Linked DNA regions of Stegostoma tigrinum. The protein of the gene in region 1 interacts with the protein of each later gene in a biochemical or structural test. Links are inferred from orthologs where the notes say so. Each region holds a gene or a part of one and is shown in the gene's direction. Other genes may lie near its edges.

Evidence for each region.
Region 2: of the proteins of klf5a (region 1) and NEDD4-like E3 ubiquitin-protein ligase WWP1, one has a biochemical effect on the other in vitro, tested with the Homo sapiens proteins (4 studies listed by BioGRID, with this or other methods). The link is inferred for Stegostoma tigrinum from reciprocal best matches to the Homo sapiens genes KLF5 and WWP1.

What each region holds. Positions count from the first base shown.
Region 1 is NC_081359.1:25,686,847-25,695,009, forward strand, and holds the start of klf5a (Krueppel-like factor 5), read left to right. Parts: upstream 1-4,826; 5' UTR 4,827-5,019; coding exon 5,020-5,178; intron 5,179-5,961; exon of another isoform or gene 5,962-6,046; coding exon of another isoform or gene 6,047-6,070; intron 6,071-8,163. UniProt on the Homo sapiens protein: Transcription factor that binds to GC box promoter elements. Activates the transcription of these genes.
Region 2 is NC_081358.1:85,845,569-85,854,286, forward strand, and holds the start of NEDD4-like E3 ubiquitin-protein ligase WWP1, read left to right. Parts: upstream 1-5,183; 5' UTR 5,184-5,315; intron 5,316-8,718. UniProt on the Homo sapiens protein: E3 ubiquitin-protein ligase which accepts ubiquitin from an E2 ubiquitin-conjugating enzyme in the form of a thioester and then directly transfers the ubiquitin to targeted substrates.

The sequences.
Region 1 (8,163 bases):
ATAGAAAGCATATAATGTGGTGAAGGGCAGTGGGAAACTAGAGAACTGGGAAGCTTACAAAGACTAACAGAGGGCAACAAAGAAAGAAATAAGGAGGGAGAAGATTAAATATGAGGGTAAGCTAGTGAGTAATATAAATGATGACTGTAAGAGTTTGTTTAGATATATAAAGGGCAAAAGAGAGGCAAAAGTGGACATTAGACCACTGGAAAATGATGGTGGAGAGATAGTAATGGGGAACAAGGAAATAGCTGAGGAACTGAATAATTACTTGAATCAGTCTTCACGGTGGAAGACATGAGTACTCTCCCAAAAATTCAATAGAGTCAGGGGTCAGAACTGAGTATGGTGGACATCACCATGGAAAAGGTGCTGGTAAAACTGATTGGCCTTAAGCTGGATAAACCACCTAGACCAAATGGACTACACCCCAGATTTCCAAAGGAGATAGCCGAAGAGACAGTGGAAGCGTTAGTGGTGGTCTTTCAGGAATCTCTCGAGTCAGGAAGTGTCCCAGAGGACTGGAAAATTGCTATGTGCCATCCCTGTTTAAAAAGGGTGTGAGACAAAACATGGAGAATTACAGGCCAATTAGCCTAACGTCAGTCATGGATAAGATTTTGGAGTCCATTGTAAAGGATGCGATTTCTGAATATTTGAAGGTCTGTGGTGAAGTATGGCAAAGTCAGCATGGTTTACTTAAGGGGAGGTCGTGCCTGACAAATCTGTTAGAATTCTTTGAGCAAATAATGAGCAGGGTAGACCAAGGAGAGCTAATGGATGTTATTTACCTTGACTTCAGGAAGACCTTTGACAAGGTGCAGCACAGGAGGCTGCTGAGTAAGGTAAGGGCCCATGGTGTTAGAGGCAAGGTGCTAGCATGGATAGAAGATTGGCTGTCTGGCAGAAAGCAAGGTAATGGAATAAAAGGGTCTTTCTCAGGATGGCAGCCGGTGACAAGTGGTGTTCTGCAAGGGTCATTGTTGGGACCACAACATTTCACTTTATACATTCATGATGTAGATGAAAGAACTGTGGGCATTCCGGCTAATTTTGCAGATGAAACAAAGATAGGTGGAAGGACAGGTAGTATTGAGGAGGTGGGGAGGCTGCAGATGGATTTGGACAGGTTAGGAGAAGAAGTGGCAGATGGAGTACAACATGGGAAAGTTGAGGTTATGCAGTTTGGTAAGAAGAGTAAAAGCATGGACTATTTTTTAAATGGGGAGAAAATTCAGAAGTCTGAAGTGCAAAGAGACTTGCGAGTGTTAGTCCAAGATTCTCCCAAGGTAAACTTGCAGGATGAGTCAGTAGTCAGAAGGCAAATGCAATGTTGGCATTTATTTTGAGAGGATTTGAATATAAAATCAGGGATATACTACTGAGGCGTTACAAGCTGTGGTTCGGCCACATTTGGAGTATTGTGCGCAGTTTTGGGCCCCAAATCTCAGGAAGGATGGACTGGCCATGGAGCGCGTTCAGAGGGGATTCATGAGAATGGTCCCAAGAATGGAAAGCTTAACATATGAGGATTGTTTCAGAACTCTGGGACTCATTTGAGTTTAGAAAGATGAGGGGGGATCTAGAAACTTACAGGATACTGAATGGCTTGGACAGAGTGGATATTGGGAAAATGCTTTCATTAGTAGGAGAGACTAGGACCTGAGCGCACAGCCTCAGAGTATAGCGAAGATCTTTTAGAATGGAGATAAGGAGAAACTTATTCAGCCAGAGAGTATGAATCTATAGAATTCACTGCCACACAAGGCTGAAGGCCAGGTCATTGAGTATATTTAAGACTGAGATAGATAGGTTCTTGATTATCAAGGGGATCAAAGGTTATGGGGAGAAAGCAGGAGAATGAGGTTAAGAAACTTATCAGTCTTGGTGCAGCAGACTTGAGGGCTGAATGGCCTAATTTCCGCTCCTATGTCTGAAGGTCTAACCACCTGCAAGTTTTCTTCCAAGTCATTCATAATTCTGACTTGAAAATATGTCGCTGTTTCTTCAGTGTTGACAAGCTTAAATCCCAGAACTGCCTTCCTAATGGCATTGTGGATGTACTTCCACCAAATAGATTGTAATGGTTCAAACAGGTAGCTGACCACCACCTTCTCAAGGGAAACTAGGTATGGACAATAAGTATTGGTTCAGCCAAAGTTGACAATATCTCATGACTGAGTAAAAGAAACTGAGCTATTAAATTGCCCATTATTTATATAACGAAAGCCTTTTTATTCTTTCGGCCAGTCAATACTTTTTAAGATGATAATTACATATTTTATTACATTGTACTTCATTTGCCACATCTTTGCTCACTCAGTCATAAATCTTTTTGTTAGCTTTCTTGCATCCTCTACACAACTTACATTTCTACCTATTTTTACGCTGTCAGCCAATTTGGAAATAGTACCTTCTGTCCCTCCAACTCATTCATTAATATAAATTGTAAAATGTTCAGGCCACAACACTAATTCCTGTTTTCCTCTATTCCTTTTTGAAAAAAAACATTTATCGTGAGTGGCCGCTTTAAGTCAGCTGGCCAGTCTTCCATCTAAAGCTAATTTATTCCCTGCAAAACCATCAGCTTTGTCTTTTGCAATAACCTTTGATGTGGCACCTTATCAAATCCCTTCCTAAAATCTAGTACAGTACATTCACTGGTTCCTTTTTGTCCATAGCATGTGTTACCTCTTCAAAGAAGTCCAATCCATTGGTCAAACATGATTTTCCATTCCCAGAACCATATTGTGTGATAAACTTGAACTTTTCAAATTCCCTGTGATAACTTTTTTAACAATAGCTTTTAACATCTTTTCCATTACATATGTTGAGCCTGTATTTTCTTGCTTTCTACCTTGGTCCCTTTTTGAATAATGGGCTTAAATTCACTGCCGTCCAATCTCACGAGAGTGTCACCAACTAGAGGGACCTTTGGAAAATCAAAACAATTACATCAACTATCTCACTTGTTATTTCTTTTTGAAAGCTAGGATGAAGTGTAGCAGTACTCATGACCATGTCAGACCACAGTTCCACCAATTTACTCAGTACTACTTTGATGGTGATGTGATTTTCTTCCTCCTTTCAATTTCCTGATTTATTCCTACTTCTGCGATTTTACTTGTAACTTCCATCATAAGGACTGATGCAAAGTACTTGTTCATTTGTCATTTGTTTATTTTCCATTAATTCCCTTGTGTCATTGTTTGTAGGACCAACACCAGTTTTTTTTTCATCGGTAAGTATTTACAGAAACTCTGTCTGATTTTTATTTCTGGCTTGCACTGTAATCACTCCTTCGCTACTACTTTTGTAGACATTGTTTGCTTTCTTTCTGTTCCATCCCAAATTCTGACCTCCAACCCATCTTTGCATACTTGTATGCCAGTTCTCTTAGTTTGTAACTATCTTTACAATTTCTAGTATACCACAAGTGGTCCATCCCTTGGAATAATTCTTAATCGTTGGAATGTATCTGTTTTGTTCCTGAGTCCACTTGCAAGTTGATTGTATGCAAATCGGAACACAATGCATGGCACTATAAAGCAGCCACTTGTAAGTACTGGAAATGTTTGTAAGCCTGATATTTAAAATTACAGTCCTGTTTGGGGTTCACATTGGTAAGCATGAGAGTTTGTAATTCTGATGTTCAAAAGTTGGGGACTTCCTATACTGTGTGAATTCTGAAATATCACTTAAAATATCTGCTACAGTACTTTTAAATTCCTGAAACAGACCAACACATTTCACAGGAGTACTAGCAAACATAATTTTATTTGGGATACAAGGAGATATCATGACGGCAGAGAGGCAGGTTTGACCAGTTAATGTAGGACAGAAAACAAGAGAGATAAATAGGAAAGATTTGCAGAGATCAGCGCGTAGGCACGACTGCCAATGGCAAATCAGTTGGGATCAGGGGTGCCTAAGATGTTGGTTGGAGGGGAGCAGAGATCTTTCAGAGTTGAAGAGCTGGAGATTGTTCTAGACACAAGGAGGGAATGAGATCACGAACGGCGTGTCAGTCATGTGGAAAAACATCAAAATTGAGACATTGTTGGAATGGGGGTCATGTAGGCCAATGAGCACTGGAGAAAAATTAAAACTTCCAGTGGTTTATCAACACAAGTTGTTCTACCCTTGAAAGCAAATCCAGCATCTATTCATGCACAGTAGAACGTCTAAAGTGAATTCTGCGACACCATCCCACCCCCGCTCCCCACGCATTTGAACTGCGGTGGCACCTGACCACTAACGTTGGCCTGATTCAGTACAAGATGTATTCATTACAATTACTCGGAGCAGATTTAAATTATGGTACTCATAAACTCCGTGGTGTCCATCTGTTCCTACATTCTTGGAAACCCTACGGCAGATTTGTGTTTTTTTTTCATCCGGTTACGAGTCTAATCGAAACAGTGAGAAACTTTGACGGCACTCCAAAAGTGCACTTCCACTTAAAAATTGGGAAGGATTACTTCAATCGCTCTGAATCCCAATAACAGGTTCGGATGTTTGAAACCAAAGCGGTAGTTTTTTTGGGGGGGGAAACACAGTTTCTGGGGCAAGCGGGACTTAAACCCGAGTCACCTAGCCTAGAGGGAGGGATATTACCGCTGTACCAGCGCAGCCTTGAAACATCTAAGTAAACGTTACCTCAGCACATACCTGGTGAGTGAGCGTGTAACCTGATGCTTCCAGGAGAGCCCGCCTCCCCATCCACTGGTGGGGGCTGATTGGTGAGTGCGCCCATCGCTCGGATGGGGATCTGGATCCTGATTGGTGGTTTGTGCTGTCGGTCACGGTTGTGGCCGGAGTTTGGCGGGTGTGGGGGAGAGGAGGGTTGGATGCCCGGGTGTCCCGGGGTGGAAGTGGCAGGAATGTTTGGAGAGTCGGCAGTCAGTGGGTGCGAGTGAAAACTGCGGGATCCCGGGCGGCAGGCAGAGTGTTTGCGGCGGATGCGGATCTTATACTCACCACACGCAGAAACGCACTCCCTGTGACCGTGTGGAGCAAATGGCCTGCGGTGCAGTGAGGGGCAGTTTGGGCGGGGGCAGCTCGGACGAGCCTGTCTTCACCCAACTCAAACCGGTAGGTCTTCAGGCGGAGGAGGCGATGTTCGACGGCATGAAGAGTCCAGCGGCGAGGATGCTGGCGACGGACGACTTAGCCCAGGTATGTCCCTCTAAGAACCCCACTCTCCTCACTGCAACCGGAGCAAAACTGTTCCCTTCAGTCCTTGAAAACACGAAAGGTCGTTGAAATAAGTATGCAAACTTAAATAAACCCCTTTACAAAATGTTATCTCCCCACTCACCCCATCTCTGTAACACTTCAATGAGTTTCCTGAATACATAGAACATAGAGTAATCGTATTTCTTTTCCACATTGTATCGGCGTCGGAAGGCTTTTTTTCTTGCTTCTGATTTGCAACTATTTTCTTTCACGACCCCAACTTGTATTTAACAGTTACCCCCCCCCCCCCCTTTCTTGGAGGATTAAACGCCGCACGTTTGCGAGGAAGAGTGCCCTCTCTCCCTCCCGCCTGTTTTAACTTTTTTTTAAAAATAACGTTCATTGGAGATTGGGATCCGCAAGTGCTGCTTATTGTGAATGGGAGCGATGATAAGGAAATGTGTGTAAACACTGCGAGGGTGAATGGGTAGCAGCTAAAAGTTGTTGCTGTTGTGATCCCGGAGTCGCGCTGTTGACATTAGACTTTAGATCAAAAACCGAATTCTTGTAGGAAAAATGAAACTGAGAAGTTTTATTGCCGCTTCTCCATATTGACCGTTCTCGGATTTGAAGGCGTTGGTTTTAGGTTCACTTGTTTTGTTCACGTGAATTATATAGAATTTGTTCGTAATACATATTTTAATGTATATTGATATGAAGAAACAATACATTTCGACCAGCAATTCCACGATTACACTTCCACTTCCTCCCAGTTACAGGTGGGAGTGGCTCTATAACCTGGTAGTGCTGGAATGGCTAAAGTGTGTGTTGAGGGCGGCGTGCACTCAATCTTCCCCCGTACTCGACAATGCGCAGTATGCACCAGGCGTGGGTGAGGATGTGCTGTATTTTTATTTTTAATTTAGGTTTTTTTTGGTCAGTGGGTGAGGGCCGCAGCTGGTTTAGCACTTGCTATGTCGCGTTCAAGCATCTGACTTTTTCCTCGCCTACAGAGCAAGTCATTGAGACTAGAAAAAACTTCCCAGCACTTTGAAATTCTCCCTGAGCCACTGCACCGAAAATATGCCAACGACAGCTGGAAGATCTATAATCGGAAAACTTTGAACGTGTGGCCAGTCCCAAACTTTGCAACTTCTTTTTCAGGAGTTGGTGGGATCTGAATTTGCTGCATAGTTGTTCTCTCTGAATAATTGATCAGATTTTCCGCCAGTCAGCTGATTATTATTAGCGGGAGGGGTAGGGGGAGGGAATGCTCAAATATTTGGCATTATCGTGGAGTTTTTACAGATGAAAGGGGAATGTAGCATTTGTATCTTCAACAGCAGTGAGCATGATGAATATTTCCCTGATGACTCTGAGCATTCACCACCCCCAGGCTGTAGTGATATGTGTCTAACTATTACCCAAAGGTGTTTTCTATTTAAATCATTTTGATCTGTTTTGGAAACTATTTGAGCAACTATTTTGCAGTTAAGCTGCAACTTTTTTTCTACCTCACAAGGAACGTGTGGCATTATTTCACCTTTGCACATTAAAGTTTTGGTTGTATTTTAATGGAATGTTTTTAAACTTAATCTGCCTAGTGTAGATAAGTGTGCAATTGCATTTTAAATGGTAACTAACATCATAATCCTCAAATCATTCCTTCACTATTTATGTCAATGGTTATTGTAAGTGTGAAACAAGTAGATATATTGCAAAAAAATCTTTTTTAAGCCATCCTCATTTTCAAGTTTGTGTAGTTCAGAAAAGCAAAGAAAATAAGTGAAAGAACAAGATGCAGCTGGATTAGGTTGATGTTATGAGAGTGCAGTGAAATGTTTCTGGTATGTTGGAGATGACTGCTAATTCTTGGTGCCAGTTTCAGATGACTCTGTACAATCCTTTTCTAAACAAATGAAATGGCTAGATTTTCAAGCAATCAAAAGTTCATGTGCATGGTAGACAAACCCCTGTTTAAACCCGTATACACAAATCCCTCACCTTCCAGGACCCCTCAATCTCCATCTCAGGCAACCAGCTTGTAACTGATGTCCATTTCAAGCCCACCGACTCCCACAGCTACCTAGAATACACCTCCTCCCACCCACCCTCCTGCAAAAATTCCATCCCCTATTCCCAATTCCTCCGCCTCCGCTGCATCTGCTCCCACGATGAGGCATTCCACTCCCGCACATCCCAGATGTCCAAGTTCTTCAAGGACTGCAATTTTCCCCCCACAGTGGTCGAGAACGCCCTTGACCGCGTCTCCCGCAATTCCTGCAACACATCCCTCACACCCCGCCCCCGCCACAACCGCCCTAAGAGGATCCCCCTCATTCTCACACACCACCCCACCAACCTCCGGATACAATGCATCATACTCCGACACTTCCGCCATCTACAATCCGACCCCACCACCCAAGACATTTTTCCATCCCCACCCTTGTCTGCTTTCCGGAATAGACCACTCTCTCAGTGACTCCCTTGTTCGCTCCACACTGCCCTCCAACTCCACCACACCCGGCACCTTCCCCTGCAACCGCAGGAAATGCTACACTTACCCCCACACCTCCTCCCTCACCCCTATCCCAGGCCCCAAGATCACTTTTTCCATATCAAGCAGAGGTTCACCTGCACATCTGCCAATGTGGTATACTGCATCCATTGTACCCGGTGTGGCTACCTCTACATTGGGGAAACCAAGCGGAGGCTTGGGGACTGCTTTGCAGAACACCTCCGCTCGGTTCGCAATAAACAACTGCACCTCCCAGTTGCAAACCATTTCCACTCTCCCTCCCATTCTTTAGATGGCATGCCCACCATGGGCCTCCTGCAGTGCCACAAGGATGCCACCCGTAGTTGCAGGAACAGCAACTCATATTCCGCTTGGGAACCCTGCAGCCCAATGGTATCAATGTGGACTTCACCAGCTTCAAAATCTCCCCTTCCCCCACCGTATCCCAAAACCAGCCCAGTTCGTCC
Region 2 (8,718 bases), on another chromosome or scaffold:
TTGGATTTAGTGATTATCTCCAATGACCTGCTTGTCAATGTAAACAGTTTGGTCTTCTTGTGAAGTTGGACAAGAGTGATCAAAAGCATTCAGGTTCAGCACCAGAGGACCTAGAGGCTGTGGGCTTTCACCTGCCATGGAGGCCATATACCAACCCTCAAATCCTACTGGTCTGAAGGAGGAGTGCCCTCATCTGTTTACCAATATTTCTGAGGGATAAAGGGCTGATAGGGAAGCAAGGACAGCTGCTATAACTGGTTCTATTAAAGCAATCTGCAAATCGGGTGGTTAACATATTGAAGAAAACAGTGAATCAGCCAAGGGACTTTTAAACCGCAAAACATACACAAATTTATGATAAACAATCTTCCCATTGAAACACACTGCTGGATTTGGATGAATGGTTAAATCTAACAATATTAATTTGTTCTGCCCATGTAATGTGCAACAGCCAAGCTTTGCCAGTTGTAAGAATTCCCCATCCATGAGGAAACTGAGGGCTGAATATGCTGCTGGTCCTTTGCTCACTAGTGGCATTGGTGGAGATATAATTGACATATTTTTCCTTTGTTGGTGGTTGTGCTTTCAGTTGACTGGTTCCTAAGCTTTTCCTCCCTAAACTCTTTTGCATTTCTTTCTATCTTTCTTCATTAGGGGACCAATATCCTGGTGGGGAAATTTGCTAGAGCTCCTTGGGAGGATTTAATATAGTCTGGCTAGGGGTGGGGTCCAAAGCAGTAGGAAGATGAAAGAGAAAGTTGAGGATAGTACAGAGGTTACTGAGAACAAGTTAAATAGTAAAGGCAGTGTTGCCATTCTCAGGACTAGGCAGGGCCAGCAAGGGCACAGCTGGAAGGAAGGGATGTCTGTGTTAAACTGCATTTATTTCAATGCAAGAGGCCTGACAGGTAAGGCGAATGAATTTTGGCATGGATGGATACATGGGAACATGGGAACTGGGATATTATAGTTGTTATAGAGACATGGCTGAGGGAAGGACAGAACTGGCAGCTCAATATTCCAGGGCACAGATGGTATTGGAAGTATAGAAGGGGAGGCAAGAAAGGAGGGGGAGTAGTGTTTTTGGTTGGGGAGAACATCACAGCAGTGCTGAGAGAAGATATTCTTGAGGGTTCATCCACTGAGTCGATATGGGTAGAACTCAGAAACAAAAAGGTGACGGGATCACTTTGATAGCATTGTACAATAGGTCTCCAAAATAGTCAGCCAGAGATTGAGGAGCAAATATGTAAGGATATCACAGATAGCTGCAAGACTAATAGGGTTGTAATAGTAGAGGATTTTTACTTCCTTCACATCGAATGGGATTGCCATAGTGTTAAGGGCTTGGATGGGCATAAATTGGTTAAGTGTGTTCAGGAAGAATTTCTCAATCAGTATGTATATGACCCGACTAGAATTGGGGAAAAACTTGAGCTTCTCTTGGGAAATATGGCAGGGAAAGTGATGGAAGTGTTAATGCAGTAGCACTTTGGAACCAGTGACCATGATTCCATTAGTTTTAACTTAGCTATGGAAAAGGATAAGTCTGTTCAACAAGCTAAAGTTCTCAATTGGGCTTAGCCAATTTTGATGGTCTTAGACAGGAACTTTCAAAGTTGATTACAGGAGGCTGTTTGCATGTAAAGTGACATCTGGTAAGTGGAAGGCTTTCAAAATTGAGATGGGGATTCAGGACCAGCATGTTCCTGTTAGAGTGAAGGGTAAGGTTGGCAGGAGCAGGGAACCCTGGATGAGTTATTGAGGCCCTGGTCAAAATAAAGAAGGAGGCATATGACATGTATAGGCAGCAGGGACGAAGTGAATTCCCTGAGAAGTATAAAGGATTTCGGAGTACACTTAAGAGAGAAATCAGGAGGGCTAAAAGTGGACACAAGATGGCTTTGGCAGATAAGTTAAAGGAGAATCCAAAGCAATTCTACAAGTATACAAAGGGCAAAAGAGTATCTGGGGACAGAATAGGGTCTCTTAAAGATCAACAACATTGTTTATGAGCAGAGCCAAAAAAGATGGGTGATATCCTAAATGCATATTTGTCATTGATATTTACCATCAAGAATGGAATGGACACGAGGGAACTTGGGGGAAATAAATAGTGATGCCTTGAAAAGAATTCACATTACAGAAGAGGAGGTGCTGGAAGCTTTAAGAAGCATTAAGGTAGATGAATCCCCAGAACCCAATGAACAGTATCATTGTCAGAGGCTAGGGAGGAAATTGCAGGGGGTGGAGATATTTGTATAATCAACAGCCACCTGTGATGCAACTGAAGATTGGAGGGTGGCTAATGTTGTGTCATTATTTAAGAAACACTGAAGGGAAACGCCTGGGAACTATAGACTGGTGAGCCTAACATCTGTGATGGGTGAGTTGTTCGAGGGCATTTGGAGAGGCAACAACTCATTTGGGATAGTCAGCATGTCTCACGAATTTGAGTTTTTTGAAGAGGGGACCAAGAGAGTAGATGAAGACTAAGTGGTCGATGATGTCTACATGGTCTTTAGCAAGGCCTTTGACACAATACCAAACAAAAGGCTGTTGAGTATGGTTATATCTCATGAGATCCAGAGAGAAGTAGCCAACTGTATACAAAAGTAGCTTGACAGTAGAAGACAAATGATGGTGATAAGAGATTGTTTTTCACACTGGAGTCCTGTGACCAGCAGTGTGCCACAGGGTTTGGTGCTGGGTCCACTGTTATTTGTCATTTATATAAATGATTTGAATGAGAATTTAGGGGGTATGGATGAAACTTAGTGGTATAGTGACAGTGAAGAAGGTTATCTTCGAATGCAGCGAGATCTTGATCAACTGAGCCAGTGGGCTGAGGAATAGCAGATGGAGTTTAACTTAGATAAAGGCACGATGTTGCGTTTTGGGGGGTCAAACCAGAGCAGGACAGAGATCTAAAGGTACAGGTTCATAGCTCCTTGAAATTAGAGTCACAGGTAGACAGAGTGGTGAAGAAGACTTTCAACATGCTTGTTTTCATCAGTCAGAGCACTGGGTATAGAAGTTGGGATGTCTTGTTGCAGCTATACAAGATGTTTGGAGCACTGCATGCATTCTGGCCTCCATTATAGAAAGAATATAAGTAAACTAGGAAGAGCTCAGAAAGATTTACTAGGATTCTATCAGGACTGGAAGGTTTGAGTTCTAAGGAGAGGTTGGATAGGCTGGGACTTTGTTCCTTGGAGCAAAGAAGGCTGAAGGCAATCTTATGAATGTCTACAAAATCATACGAGTTATTGATAAGGTAGATAGCCAACAGCTTTTCCCCTTGGAAGGGGAGTCTAAAACCAGAGGCCATAGGTTTAGCTTGAGAGGGAAAACATAAACCAGGATCTAGAGGGGCAAATTTTTCACACAGAGGGTAGAGAGTGTCTGGAACAGCCTGCAAGACATAGTGGTAGAAGTGACTACAACTTCATCATCATTTAGGAAACATTTAGACACATACATGGATGGGATAGATATGGAAGGATATCGACCAAATGTATGCAAATGAGACTAGTTTAATTGAGACCACTTCAGGGGTTTCAATGAGATCACCTTGGTGGCTTAGTGGTTAGCACTACAGCCTCAAAGCACCAGGGACCCAGGTTCAATCCCAGCCTCCGGCGACTGTCTGTGTGGAGTCGCACATTCTCCCCGTGTCTGCCTGGGTTTCCTCCAGGTGCTCCGGTTTACTCCCACAGTCCAAAGATGTGCAGTCTAGTGGATTGGCCATGCTAAATTGCCCATAGTGTTCAGGGGTGTGTGGGTTATAGGGGAATGGGTCTGGGTGGGATGCTTCAAGGGGCGGTGTGGACTTGTTGGACCGAAGGGCCTGTTTCCACGCTGTAGGTAATCTAATCTAATCTAAAACTGGACGCATGGGTAAGTGGGGCCTAAGGGTCTGTTTCCATGCTGTAGACCTCTATTACTCTATCTAATACATTACTTAAAACCAATTTTTTGATCAAGTTTTTGGCCATTTGTTCTTATACTTCCTCCAGCTACAGTCAAAAATATTTTTACTGATAAAGCACATTGTTAAGCACGTGTTTTATATGTTATTATGGTTGTAGTATGTGATCAACCATACCTGTCTCAATGACTTTTACAGCAGAAGGTGACCAGTTTCTGAACGTAACAAAAACTGAAAGAACTGCAGATGCTGTACATGAGGAGCAAAAACAGAAGTTGCTGGAAAAGCTGAGCAGGTCAGAACCTTGAGTTCTGAGGAAGGATCACTGGACCCGAAACGTTAACATTGATATTTCCTCCACAGACGCTGCCAGACTTGCTGAGCTTTTCCAGCAACTTGTTTCAATTTCTGAATTTGCTGGCAGTAAAAGATAAATTTATATAATGTGCTGCCTAGAAGTACGTAGAATTCTCGGTGTGCAGGTTGCGAGGATTTCTATGCGCAGATTTTGACAAGATGGCTAGCTATCGTTTATCCTATATCTTCAGCATATAATACTATTTGTCCCAGACATCAGATTCCTTAAGTAATTGCGCTGTTCGGAACTTTGTTGTGGCAAGAGACTCCGAAGAAGACTTCAGACACATTTCACGGATGCCCTCAAAGGCATGAACTTTCCCATCACCTCATGGGAGTCCCTCGCTTGTCGATGAACTCAAATGCAAAAGGAAGGCATTGGGAGCATGCTGAAGCAAAACTGAAGCGTTGGTGACAGCACAGAAATCTCCAAATACCTAATGTTCTTGACCCTTCAAGCACAACTTATTCTGCATGTGGCAAAGTCTGCAGGTCAGCGAGGTATCATTCTGGACTGGAGGCGCAACCCCAGTTTCTCTCCACAGAAGCTGCCAGACCTGAGTTTCTCAGGTAATTTCTGTTTTCGTTTCAGGTTTGCAGTGTCCTCCGTATTTTGCTTTTATTGCTTGAACACACAATACCGCCTGAGAATGTTTGTGGGATGGAGGCTGAAGAATCTGAACATCGTTTACTCGGTGCATTTAGAGAGATACAATTGCTCTAGCCGTTCAGCATAAACACCCTACAGCTTTCCAACTCCCCCGACACCGCGGGTGCACCGCCGGACAGCAAGCAAGAGGAGCACGGCTCTGACGTGCGCGCCGTCCGGACGGTCTGGGCGTCGCACGTGCGCGCTCTCGCACTCGCGGGGTGTCGCGCGCACTCGAGCGGTGACGGTGCCGCGCCGGAGATGGGGATTGGCGAGTGGGGCTGCGCGGCGGAGCGGAGATACGGAGAGTGAGGGGGAGCCAGAGCCGGATCGGCAGGGCCAGGGAGGAGGAGGAGGGTGAGGACGGCCTTTAAACGGGTGAGTGGTGTAGGCCCCGGACTGCGGGCTGCAAACCGTGGCCCTTGTCTGTATGTCCGTCCGGTTTGGATGCTGTTCCCGTTTGGCCCACTCCGAGCAGGGAGACTCTTCGGACGCTCTGGGTTCTGACCGGAATTGTGAGTGATGGGGATGGAGGAGGCTGCGGCTGGGCCCTGCCTCTCCTCCCCTCCCCTCCCCTCCCCTTCCCTTCCCTCAGGGCAGCCACGGCGGAGGAGGCCGAGGCCCCGACCCTGAGCCCATGGAGATAAACCGAATGCCGGCAAAGGGCCTGGGGGTCGGGACTGGGGGAAGGAGAGACAACATGGAGCTGCTGATCCGGCTTTCCAGCCGAGTTTCAGCTGGCACCTCTTACTCAATCCAGACTGTGGAGAATAGAAATGTTACATTAATAAAACTCCTTGTCAAAGGAGTGGACATTTGCAGCACGCTCTCTTCTCCCCCCCCCCCCCAGGTTTGTTTTCTTTAAAATTGCTGATACATGGATGAGAGTTGACCTGGGCCAACTGGGAGACATGGGTTTAGTTTGTGTTCGGGACTGAAGTGGACTCTTGTCTGGTCTCTGTCTTCGAGCCGGGAGGATGAGATGGCTTGGTTGTGGTGTGTGGGGGCGGGCGGTTGTTGTTTGTGAGAAGGGACCACTGCAATTCCAACTGCATGCTGCCCTCCTGGCAATCACAAAGTGTCCGTGACCATGACGAAGCAGCCAGCAGCACGTCTTAATATTTGTACACAAGCGCTTTTGGCCAAAATCTTTCTCGATCTTCTTGCTGGTAGTGGGCATTACAATCCAGGGCACCCGATGTGATTGAAGAGGGAGCAGCGTTTGCAGGTTTTGCCGTTTAACGAAATGCATTTTCTCAGGGTGTTTTAAAAATGTTTTCTGGATTCCTGTCAGCTGTAGCTGACTCCCCGCCCGCCCCTTGCTTGCAAGTTCCAAGATCCGAGAATTCCTGGATTCCTCTGCCTCTGCTGACAGAAGTAGAATATTGCAGCATCTTAGTACCAGGCCTCTAAAAAAGGCCCAGTAATATCTGCAAGTATACAGCCCGATGAGCTGTTTACAGCTTTGTAATTACTGTGTATAGATATATGGGAGATTTAAAAATCTGAAAAGGAAAATTACAGTTGTCGTGACCCACTAACGTTGCTCAAATGACAGCTGGTATAATTCAGGAAAGCCCTGCAAATCCGTTGAATTTAGATTGTCTTTGTAAAATAAAATTTCTTCTCTGTAAAATCAAAAAGAACATAGAACAATACAGCGCAGAACAGGCCCTTCGGCCCTCGATGTTGCGCCGACCTGTGAACTAATCTAAGCCCCTCCCCCTACACTATCCCATCATCACCCATATGCTTAGCCAAGGAGTTAAGACCGTAACATGAAATTTAATCATAATTACTTTAGGAAGATGTGTGCAGAGTGCAAAGCCTCAATTTCTCGTGTTTAATAGTGTATTAGTTTGCTGTTTGTGTTGTTTATGGCTTATGGTTGTATGAAAGTTATTGGTTGTCAGTATTCAAATTAATGTCCAAAATATTATTTGAAATTAGTTAAAACTGTATCTTAAATTACAGGTCTTGAATTCTGTTCATGCTAAGTATTTATGTTGAGAGCTTTTTTGAACAAAATCTTGACTTGTCTCAAGCCTGATACCTATAATATATTTATGTTGAATGTCTGGTTTTCTTACACAGCCCATGATGCTTCGTTTGCTGTGGCCACCTGGACAGTTATCTCCAAGTTGCAGATATTTTGCTAAATCACCTCCTCTTGATAGCTAATTCATTTGTAGTACTGTATAGGACTGCATGAACCCATGGTTTGACCAGTGACTAAGAGTACAGCCTTTTCAGTTACTGCAGTTTGGAGTTTTTGCATTTATGAACTTACATATTTGATTGTCCTATAAATCAGAAGAGGGTCAAAGTACATACAAGAACACCTTTAAAAGAAGTTCTTGTGATTTGACATTAGTTTAGCTTGGTTTTCAAACTGTTATTCAAGAAGTGAGCTAGGGATGAAGCAGGAAACTACAGACCAGTCAGTCAAACCTCTGATAACAAGGTGCAGAGCTGGATGAACACAGCAGGCCAAGCAGCATCAAAGGAGCAGGAAGGCTGACGTTTCGGGTCAAGACCCTTCTTCAGAAATGGGGGAGGGGAAGGGGATTCTGAAATGAAAAGGGAGACGGGGGAGGTGAATAGCAGATGGATAAAGGAGAAAGTAGGGTGAGAGGAGACAGACAGGTCAAAGAGGCGGGGATGGAGCCAGTAAAGTTGAATGTAGGTGGGGAGTTAGGGAAGCGATAGAGATTCCTGCTCCTTTGTTTGGCCTGGTGTCCATCCAGCTCTACACCTTGTTATCTCAGATTCTCCAGCATCTGCAGTTCCTAGCATCTCAATCTAACCCCAATAGTCGGGAAGCTAATAGGAACAATTCTGAAGTACAAAATTAATCTGCCTTTTGGATAGGCAAGAATTCATCAAGAATAATAACATAGTGTCGTTAAGCGGAGTACATGTCTGACCAATTTGAATCCTTCAAAGAGATAACTGGGTGTGTAGATGAGGGCAATACATTGGACGTAATTGATTGGAAGCAAGGCAGTTGATAAGATCTTGTACGGGAGACTGATAGCAAAGGTAAAAGCCTATGGGATCCAGAATTGGCTGAATGACAGGAAGAAGAGGCTGATGGTTGAGATGTGTTTTTGACTGGAAGCCTGTGCCAGGTGGGATTCTGCAGAGATCAGTATTGTGGCGCTTGCTGTTTGTGGTATATATAAATGGTTTAGCCTTGAACGTAAGAAGTTTAATCAGTAAGTTCACTGATGGCCCAGACATTAGTGAGGTGGATAGCCTTAGATTACAGGAGGACGTGGATGGGCTGGCCAGATGGCTGATCAGTGGCAAACGGATATAATCCAAGTAAGTGTGAGATGATTCACTTGGGTAGGAAAAACAAGATAAGGGAGTATGTACGAATGGCTTGGACCTTGCAAAGCAGTGAGGATCAGAGGGAGCTGGTGCGTCTGTCCGTCCGTCCACTGGTCACTTGAGATAGTGGAAGATAGAGTGGTTAAGAAGACATATTGATACTTGCCATCAAATGAAGAAACATTCATGACGATTAGTTGTTTGTCTTTGGAGTTTACTACTTGAGGGATCTTTGGAGATTTGGATGATGAATGCATTTAAGACCAAGGTTGTTAGATTTTTGGGTACTGAGGAAAATAAGAGGATAATGTGGAAAGGTGGAGTTTGGGTGGAACATCAAAATTTTTCTTGTTCATTCATATGATGTAGGTGTTGCTGGCTGAGCCGACATTCATTGACCATCTCTAGTTGCCCTTGAAGGTGGTGGTGAGCTCCCTTCTTGAAC